Sus scrofa: one gene and its partners. The protein of the gene in region 1 purifies or fractionates together with the protein of each later gene. This does not show direct contact. Links are inferred from orthologs where the notes say so. Each region holds a gene or a part of one and is shown in the gene's direction. Other genes may lie near its edges. The genes, in order: SLC7A11, OTUB1 and CD44.

Evidence for each region.
Region 2: the proteins of SLC7A11 (region 1) and OTUB1 purify together in Homo sapiens (affinity purification with western blotting; 5 studies listed by BioGRID, with this or other methods). This does not show direct contact. The link is inferred for Sus scrofa from reciprocal best matches to the Homo sapiens genes SLC7A11 and OTUB1.
Region 3: the proteins of SLC7A11 (region 1) and CD44 purify together in Homo sapiens (affinity purification with western blotting; 3 studies listed by BioGRID and IntAct, with this or other methods). This does not show direct contact. The link is inferred for Sus scrofa from reciprocal best matches to the Homo sapiens genes SLC7A11 and CD44.

The regions. Positions count from the first base shown.
Region 1 is NC_010450.4:88,611,025-88,614,680, forward strand, and holds part of SLC7A11 (cystine/glutamate transporter), read left to right. Parts: intron 1-1,363; coding exon 1,364-1,490; intron 1,491-3,656. UniProt on the Homo sapiens protein: Heterodimer with SLC3A2, that functions as an antiporter by mediating the exchange of extracellular anionic L-cystine and intracellular L-glutamate across the cellular plasma membrane.
Region 2 is NC_010444.4:8,088,000-8,090,419, reverse strand, and holds the end of OTUB1 (ubiquitin thioesterase OTUB1), read left to right. Parts: intron 1-721; coding exon 722-840; intron 841-1,029; coding exon 1,030-1,114; intron 1,115-1,210; coding exon 1,211-1,405; intron 1,406-1,536; coding exon 1,537-1,734; 3' UTR 1,735-1,892; downstream 1,893-2,420. UniProt on the Homo sapiens protein: Hydrolase that can specifically remove 'Lys-48'-linked conjugated ubiquitin from proteins and plays an important regulatory role at the level of protein turnover by preventing degradation.
Region 3 is NC_010444.4:25,814,531-25,818,186, reverse strand, and holds part of CD44 (CD44 antigen), read left to right. Parts: coding exon 1-39; intron 40-1,799; coding exon 1,800-1,906; intron 1,907-2,782; coding exon 2,783-2,989; intron 2,990-3,656. UniProt on the Homo sapiens protein: Cell-surface receptor that plays a role in cell-cell interactions, cell adhesion and migration, helping them to sense and respond to changes in the tissue microenvironment.

The DNA.
Region 1 (3,656 bases):
CAACTTGTTAAAATGAGTTATAAACTAGACAAACTGTATCGGTGATCTGCAAATATCAATCTGTAGGCTAGTTACTCTAGAATTAGCTGTGCAAATTTTAAAATATTGGACCTACTTGGATGCCTCTACTGGAGACTCTGGTCTCTCTTGGTTAGAGAGTAGTTCTGGGATATGGCCTTAGCATTTGTTCTTATTTTAAATAAAAGTCCTCCCAGGTGATTCAGATACAGTACTAGTTTTAAGAATAGGATAAATAACAGTAAGATTTTGTGGAATATCCAAAATATATTAATGTTGGACTGTTCTACCTGAAGCTTTACTGATTAGTAATAATTTGCCACACTTTTAGTCTCCAAAGTAGCTAAGGCAGAAATTAGGTCTTACATTTAAGTACTTAGCAGTATGGATAGAACTTTTCACATAACATCAAGATATATTTTCCATTTTCTTTATAATTGCTCACATCAATACGTATTGCTATATTTCATGAGGTGTTTTCTGTGTGTCAGGCCCAGGTACTGTCCTTGGCACATATTTTCATATTTATACATACAAACCTCTAATGAGGTAATAATTATGATCTTTAATTTTATAGATGATGAACCTGAGGTTTTGGGAGGTTATGTAACTTGCTCAAGTCCATGTGAATTTTATTGCTAAATGTTAATATTTGATCTGTAGTTAATTTTACCTAATGTACATTAATGTTATAGCTCTTCTTTTTAAAGAGGTTTTTATGTTATTTCAACCACCCAGAGTATATTCTTCAAAAACATCCAGGAAAAACTTTCCTAAAAGTAGAATATCTGAGTTAAAATTCATTTTGTTGACAAGCAAAACATATCCCACAAATGAAGTAAAGCCTTACAAGGCCTTGAGTCCATACTTTTCTGGAAAGCAGATAAATCTTACTTATTTTGATGTACCCCAGAAATATCATTTATTAAAAGGAATCTTAATAGAATGAAGTCCTTTTGGGATAATTCCTTGTCTTGATGTGAAGTTATGTTCTTCAAAAAATATGTTAGTATTTTTGGCATTTGTCTTCACTTTTTCCCTTGTTCCCAGGTTCGAGATTGAAAAGTCTTCATAATATGATATTGTTTTAGAAGTTTGTCTTTGCTATTTTAAGTAAAATTACATTGTTTGAGTAGAATGAACTAGATCTCAAATGTGAGGAAGTTAACAAGATGAATTTGGAGACTCTTTGGAATTGGATGACTGCTATTTATTTTGAAAAAGGATGTTATTCAGACCAAAGGTGTAGTAGCATTTCACACAACATAAACGTTGAATGCATTCTACTTCTGGATGACTTGGTAATATTTTAACTTTGCGTCTTTTTATTATAAATATTTCACAGGAGCCTTGTCCTATGCTGAGTTGGGAACAAGCATAAAGAAATCTGGTGGTCACTACACATATATTCTGGAAGTTTTCGGACCATTACCAGCTTTTGTGCGAGTCTGGGTAGAACTGCTCATAATACGGTAAGAACCTAGATAGAAAGCATTAAGGAAAAATAAACTTACTCATTATATGCTGTTTTGAATCACCTTGATTATTTCATGTAATTAGAAATATGCATGTCATGTGACTATGTGGTAAGCACATCTACTTTCAGACATAAAATCTGTAATGAAATACCTTTCTCAAGGTTTTTATTTCATGCAGTTTTGCCACTGGCAGTAGTTTGCTACCTATGCCAAACTTTTAAAGCATCTACTCTGTGTTAGTATTCAGTTATTCTCTATGACATTTTCAGGAAAGATGTTGACCTGAAAAGAATGTGAAGCATCAAAATCTGCCTTGATAAATCAGACATTTTGTTTGATTATAAATCATAATTAGACAAAATTAAGTGTTATGCTAGGAACTGGGGTTTTTCTTCTTGTACATTACACTATTAAGTCGTTTTAGTTTACTCACGTTGCATGACTAGGAAACTTCTGTTCCTCACCACTTAGTATGTCACTAACTTTTATATTACGGAAAAAAACAAAACTTCACTTGTCATAAATGACTCATATCCTCACGTTAAACAAACCAGTGAACTATAGTAGCGAAAAGCTTTGATTTTATTGTTGTAAAAATATGTTCCTCTTCCTGATTGTCTTGGTTTAAAATCAAACCAAATAATGCTAAGTCACTCTGAATAGCACATTTCCTCCAACTTTGTGGGAAACTTATGATGTCACATGAGAAGTTTGGCGTATCCTTAAGGCAAACAGCTTCCATGAAATGTGCCTAGCACATTCTGATTACAGAGTTTAACAAAAGTAACTAGAGAAACTTGCTCTTACTGTAAACTTATCAGACCTACACAGTTGAGAGCTCCTGTGAGCTTTTATCCTGTCATTTGGACTAAGTGGCTAATGCAGAGCTAATAAGTATTGACTTAACACTAATCTTGGTTTTTATAGCCCTAGGAGTCTCTTTTTTAGCAAAGAGTTTAGAAAAGTATTTACTTCTTTGTTAAGTCTGTTCTCATCTTAAACAATTGTGCATTATTTAAAACGTATTATAATGAGATAATTATAAAGAGCTATTTTGTTCCTTTTCTAAAATCTCAGATTTGCTTGGGATGTGTCTTCCACTCCTTACTAATAATCCGAATATTACTCTTCAAAGGTCAATTTAAATTCTATCTTTTCCACCATTAATTACCTGTTCACTCTAGTTTATAGTATTTCTTTCCTCTCTTAATTATTCTGAAAAAATGCAGTCTCTGCTTCTCATTTGGCACTGAACATGGTATCTTATATTCTTACTTTAATATTTTAGGAATCTGTGCCATTTCCCTGTTAAAACTGCAAGGATTTCAAGTACTTTTTGTAACCCTTATACTACTTATTTCAGTGCCCTGATTGTCAAATATTAAACTCTTTTTGAATAAGTGACTGAAAGATTAAGGTTGTAATATGCTGAATACAACATGCTCAGCTTTCAAATGAATATGCTACTTATTTAGAGTGCTGGCCTGTGAGGAGGGCAGGCTTTGGAGCCTGACTCAAACTGGACTTGAGTCCCTCTTCAGTCATGTATTGGCTCATTGTATTGGCTAATTAGCCAAACTTTGGTCTTATGATGACCATTATCCTTCCTTTTGCAATAGTAGCACCAATACAGTGTTCATTCATTTATTCATTCATTCTACAAACTGCTACTGAATGATTTACACCAAGTTAAAGAGATTTATGGTGGAGTGAGCTACGGTTCCTATTCTCAAGTAGTTCATAATCAAATGCTACTTTAATCACAAGAGAGCTACTTCACAGAGTGTATATGTGTTTACAGAAGAAATTACCCAGGTGTATTCTGGAAGCTTTTTTAGTGGGTTCATATATTTCTTTGTAATATTGGACTCACATTACTTAGTTGGTCTTTCACATGGGCAAAGTAATGAATGACTTGAGGGGTAACAAGATACCTTGGTACTTTAATATTTCTCTTCCGTTGAAAACACCCATGGTCAGAGTTCCCGTCATGGCTCAGTGGTTAACAAATCTGACTAGGAACCATGAGGTTGTGGGTTTGATCCCTGGCCTTGCTCAGTGGGTTAAGAATCCGGTGTTGCCGTGAGCTGTGGTGTAGGTTGCAAACGCGGCTTGGATCCCGAGTTGCTGTGGCTGTGGTATAGGCTGGCAGCTACAGCT
Region 2 (2,420 bases), on another chromosome or scaffold:
CCTGTAGGGAGGGCGGCGACCCCCTGGAACAGTGTCCCTGGAACAGTGTCTCATCCCAGGGAGGCGTGGCCTCAGACCCTCCCAGGGCCCAGAGTGAAGGCCATGGGCAGGTGTGCCGTGGGGGCTGGGGTTCTCAGGGGAAGTCTTCAGTCCAAAAGGAAGCAAGGTCAAGGTGGGTGGGGGTTTGAAGAGAACAGAAAAGGTATGAGATGGGTGTCGGGGAGAAGGGGAGGGCGCCTAGGCTGAGGGAGTGAGGCCTTGACTCCTACAGGGAGGTTCAACAGACAGAGAAGAAATTTCACTGAGTTTGGGGAGGGAACCAGAAAAGATGGAGCCAGTGCCTGAGGGTGGGCGGGGTAGAGCTTAGAAGGAGGTGAGGGAGGCTGTGTCCAGCCCCAGGCTGTGCCATGGGCACCACGCTGCCCTGGAGCTCTCCAAGTGTGAAAGGTCCTTCCCTGGAAAAGCTGCTTTGATCAAGGACTCAGTCACTTGCCCAGCCGCTGGTGACCCGTGCAACCTATGTGTCCAGAAGTCAGTTTCCTGAGGCTTTGGGGGCTCCTGGTAGCATCACCAGAGTCAGCAGCCAAGGATGGCAGGTGGCTGCTTGGAGCTTAGTTGCCACCTGCTGTAGAGCAACCTCGTCAGGGCGGTTTCCTCGGCCCGCCCTGGCTCTGGCCTGATGTTGATGGGCCCGGGTGGGGCGGGGGCTGCCTCTCCGCAGGACCTCCACAAAAAGTACTCGTACATCCGCAAGACCAGGCCTGATGGAAACTGCTTCTATCGTGCTTTCGGTTTCTCCCACTTGGAGGCGTTGCTGGATGACAGCAAGGAGCTGCAGCGGTGAGGAGGGCGGGCCCTCGAGCACAAAGAGGCGGGTGGGGCAGGGTCCTAGGAAGGGCCCGAGGGGCTCCCTCCATCCTCCTGGGGACCAGGAGGTGCGGTTCCCGTGCTGCCCGGGCCCCCACCTCTGAGCTGGCCTCTCTGCTGGCCGAGGAGCCCGCGCAGCCTCTCTTTCCCTCCCGGCTGCAGGTTCAAGGCTGTGTCTGCTAAGAGCAAAGAGGACCTGGTGTCCCAGGGCTTCACCGAATTCACAATTGAGGATTTCCACAACACGGTGAGCCTCTCGGCCGGGTGGAGGGCGGGGGGCCTGGCCGAGGCAGCATCGGCCCATCTCCTCCCTCACTTGCTCTCTGTCCCCCTTGGGCGGCAGTTCATGGACCTAATCGAGCAGGTGGAGAAGCAGACCTCAGTGGCCGACCTGCTGGCCTCCTTCAACGACCAGAGCACCTCGGACTACCTGGTGGTCTACCTGCGGCTGCTCACCTCGGGCTACCTGCAGCGCGAGAGCAAGTTCTTCGAGCACTTCATCGAGGGTGGGCGGACCGTCAAGGAGTTCTGCCAGCAGGTGCTGCCCCCTCCCCGCTCCCCAGACTCACTGGGGCCTCAGGGTGGGAGCCTCGGGGCCCGGGGGTGCACCGGGTGGCTGGGGGTGCGGAGGCGCCAAGACCCAGGCCCTGAGCGGCCCCTGTGCTGCAGGAGGTGGAGCCCATGTGCAAGGAGAGCGACCACATCCACATCATCGCGCTGGCCCAGGCGCTCAGCGTCTCCATCCAGGTGGAGTACATGGACCGCGGCGAGGGCGGCACCACCAACCCCCACATCTTCCCCGAGGGCTCCGAGCCCAAGGTCTACCTTCTCTACCGGCCTGGACACTACGACATCCTCTACAAATAGGGCTGGCCCGGCCTGCCGCCGCCCTGCCTGCCCTCCCCTCTGCCAGGCACTAGACATGTACAGAGGTTTTTTTTGTGGTTGTAAATGGTCGTACTTCACCCCCCACGCCCTTCCCTGTCACACGACCTTCCATGTTTTATTAAAGGGGACGCTGGTGGTGAGCCGCGTGTGTGCGTGTCCCTGCTCTGCTGCTGCCCTCCTGGCTGCTCTCTGTCTGGCTGCCCCACCCCCCTCAGGTGGCTTCCTCTCAGCCTTCCACCTGTCCACCCCCAAGCCTCCCCGCCAGGAGTAGTTTTGAGGGGGCTAGGCCTCTTGGGGACCCCTCCTGGTTATTGGGCCTCTGCTTCCTTCCCTTCAGGCCTCTGCCCCTGCCCTCCTTAGCCAGCCAGGCCTTCCAGGGGAATTTGGAAGTTCCTTGGAGACTGGCCCAGAGCCCCAGGACCACCAAGGCTTCCAGCTCTGCCCTCATAGGCCACGCCTCCGCCCTGCTGCCCTGGCCTCCCCGGCCACCTGCTCTCCATCAGGGGTCTGCATGGTGGAGAGGGCTGGCCTGAGGGTGCGGCCTGGCTCAGGGTAGGCGGAGGAGCTGGGCCACCCTAGTGCACCCCAGGTGCTGCCCTCCGGGCGGGGGAGGGCTGTCCTCAAGTCTGTCCTTCCCGGAGTCTAGCGGGGCTGGCCAGGCCCCC
Region 3 (3,656 bases), on another chromosome or scaffold:
CACAGGTTTGGTGGAAGACTTGGACAGGACAGGACCCTTTCAGTGACAGCTCGTAAGGATAACAGCCTTCAGTCTCCCTCTTGACCTGTCTTCCTGCTTCAGCTCTTGCTCTCATTGGTGGCGGGATGGCCCACGCGGTGCGGTGTGGCTTGGCTTGTAAAAGCTGAGGCCGTAAAAGCCATCTTCATTGTGTGTTCTTGGTGGTTCTTTAAATCTGACCATCCCTTCCTCTTGGTGCTTTCCAGATTCCATGACTTCATGTTAACACACAAATAAAAAGGCTGTGGGGCTCCATTCCTCTTGATTTTCCTTCTCTGAGTAGTTATGTCCGTGAAATCCACGACCACGGTGAGGACAGTGGGTTCTCTATGGTTTAACGGACCATCTCCTTTTGATTCCCATCTCTCCTCGAGGCTGAAGAGAGGTAGGATTGTCTCGATGGTCGTAAAAAGCTGTCTGGGGGCCAGATAATCGTGAGAGTAGGGAAATCATCACCCAGAGAAGCAAGTCATGCTGACAGGTGACCTAAGCGGCAGGCCTGGGAGCAAAAGAAGAACACGGGCTCATGTCTCTCCCTATTACTAAATATATGGTAGAAACAATGTGAAACTTCCAGTAGATTTACTGTCCACTCTAACTACAGATACAGCTATCCTAGAGATCACCATCATTCATACTTTCTTGACAGAGATGAAAGAAATCTAGAATGAAGAGGGCCTCCTTTCACTGCTAGCTGCCTGTAATGGGCAGAGGTTTTTTTCCTGTGAGCCCTTTGAGACAAAGGGAAAAATCAGGAAGCGTGTCTTGATTGTCAGGAATGTAAACAGCATAGTGTTAAGCATTAGAGGAGATGCAGAGAAGCTTAAATATGGTCCCCGCCGATGGAGGGGCTTGTATTCTTACTTTATGTCCCTGTTGATGTTTGTTCTGATGTTGGGTTTGGTGTTGGGTGAATGTCTTTCTCCCGTTGTAGCATTCACTTGGTGGTGGACCTGGCGGCGTGGTGTGCCCTATGGAATACTTGCACCTGTAACTCAGAGGTCAGTACCTTTCTTAGAGGAACGCTCAAGAAATGAACTCAAAGCAGTCAGAGCCATTTCGGACATGGGCAAGGGTTCAACCTGAAATGGATAACCTATCAGTGAGGGCCCTGCGTTTGCCCAGACAAGCATCTCCTGGCGTTTCAGGGCCGTGATGAGAATCCTCATCCAGAGATGAGATCAAAAGCCTAAAACTTGAGCACCATGGTAACTGAAGTTCATGTTCTTTGAAGCGACTTAAGTGTTTCCTTCTATAAATTTGATCTGAGTTACTTGAGCAGGTTATTCTACATGAACGTCTTCCTCTTTTGTGGCTACAAGTGTTCTACCTGCTGTGATGGTGTTTATTTTCGCTACACTCACACTTCCTGACACACAGCTAAGGTGCTCTTGACGTTGGTGGGAACACTGGATCCAAACGTTCCTTTCTCTATCTCTGTGTGTTGTCTGGTTTTCTGGAATAACAGGAAGCAGTGCTATCACTGGGCCAGGATGATCCGGTGGTGGGGGGGGAAACAAAGTTTTGGCTGTGATTTCACCTTGGCCCTCTATCTTGTTGATTATACTGGAAGACAAAGCCAGTTGGGGGCAAGGCAGAATATCCTGGTGCGTTTCTGTCAATCAATCAAGGAGGATGGTGTACACAAACTTTGGTATTCCTGTGTATCTACCCATGACCAGACTCTAGCTAAATTTCCCCCACCCCCATCAGCAGATAACAGAGGGTTTATTTCATGGCTTCAAATTAATACTGGATTCATCCTTTACTGAAACAGAGCAGAGTGATACTCAGAGCTCTTCTACATCACATGGAGGCTTGGAAGAAGACAAAGACCATCCAGTGGCTGCTACTCCAACATCTAGCAGTAAGGACTGTAAAGCCCAGGTGGCTTCAGCTATTGAAAAAAAAATCAATAAACTCGGTGCTTTTGCAGTGTCTTTGGTGGAGTTATATCAGCTGGCTGTTGTTAAGCTGTTCCTTATGATCAGAAGGTGTGGCTGGTGATGGTTCTCTGCCTTCTTTGCTTTGTAGATCTCATAGAAGCCTCTGTGCATTAAGTACAAACTTAATTTTTTAAATGTTTTTAAGGTTGGGTTTCTCAAACTCTAGAGTTAGTGTCTTCATTTAAAAATAACGAATCACTTATATATGATTTATAATTGGGGAAAAGATCTGAATGATATCACTTATTTTCCTTCCATTCGTATTATTTTGCCATTTATCCTCTGGGCCATAAATCCATAGTGCTGGTGACTAGGAAGCAGTGCCCTCTGGCAAAGGAGAGAATAATCGAAGGCTCATGTCTTTGAAGCTTTGCATTTGCTTCCAATGGCAGGTAGCAAAATTTTGCCTTTCAATTCAGTAACGTACGTGTTTCTTCCACTTCATCAAAGGTGGATCCAGCTGATAATAGTCAAGATTATCTAGTACCTGCATTGACGTTAAAGTAACAGTTCTGGTGGCATAAACCTTATTTTAATAAACCCAGGCAGGTGTTGCACCAAATGTCTCTTCTGAGTATTAGGATCACCAAAATCTCTTCCATTGAGTGATACCCAGTTGGTGTTGATTGCAAAATATCGATTCTGTTCAGTAGTGTAGCAAACTGCACTGCTCACCGCTCCGTGTTCACGAAGAACAAGTGGAAAGCTTTTGCAGCAATTGCACATTCTGAAAACCAGCACATGATGGGTAGTGGTCTTACGGGTGTGGGTTTACCATTGATTCCACCTCCGCACAGATAGGAATGATGGCAGAAGTGGAAGAAGAGGTGGAAGTCTTCCTGAAGACTCAGCTACGTCCGTGGAAGGTTATACTCTTCATTCTCCAGACACAAATGAATATAGAACCCTCATCCTGGTGACCCCTACCAAGACTGGGTCCCCTGGAGTTACTGAAGTTACTATTGTTGGAGATTCCACCTCTAATGTTGATCTTTCCTCATCAGGTAATTTGGCCGTTTGTTATCTGGTTTGCTTTCTAGAGGGAGAAGCAACACATACTTTCATACTTAGGGATCACTTCTGTGTAGGCTACGATGAGATGGATTTGTGACATGGGGATGGTTTTTATCACACATCATCATTCTAGTGCAAGTCAACATTTATTTTAAATAATGTTTTTATGTGCCCATGTAATCTCTGTTTTTTGTGACTTGGTTGTTATGGTAGAGTTTCTTTCTTTTTCTTGTTCCTGATCTTGTGACATATTTAGTGAACCATATGAAACGGATATTTTTGTGAGTAAAAGTAGTCCAGTATTAGCAATTCCATTTGATTCAACTAATATATGCTGCCTATGTAGCAGGGTTTTACCCATCTTGTGAATAATTTCTGTATACTGATGTCTTTGCTCTGAAATTATTCTCTTTTATTGGTGATGGATTGGTGAATTTTACTTTTGGTGAAGGGCTGGTGGGTAACTTCTTCTAGTTATGGTGCACACTTAAAACTTGATGATTTAGTCTACTGTTAATGAGCAGGCACCATTTCTCTTGTGATGGCAAAGAGATGACCAAAAATGACTTATTCAATTAAGTTAGGCATGCACCCAGCATGAGCATGTAATTCTTTTCCCTCTCAAATAAGCAATCTTCCGGAGTTTCCGTCGTGGCT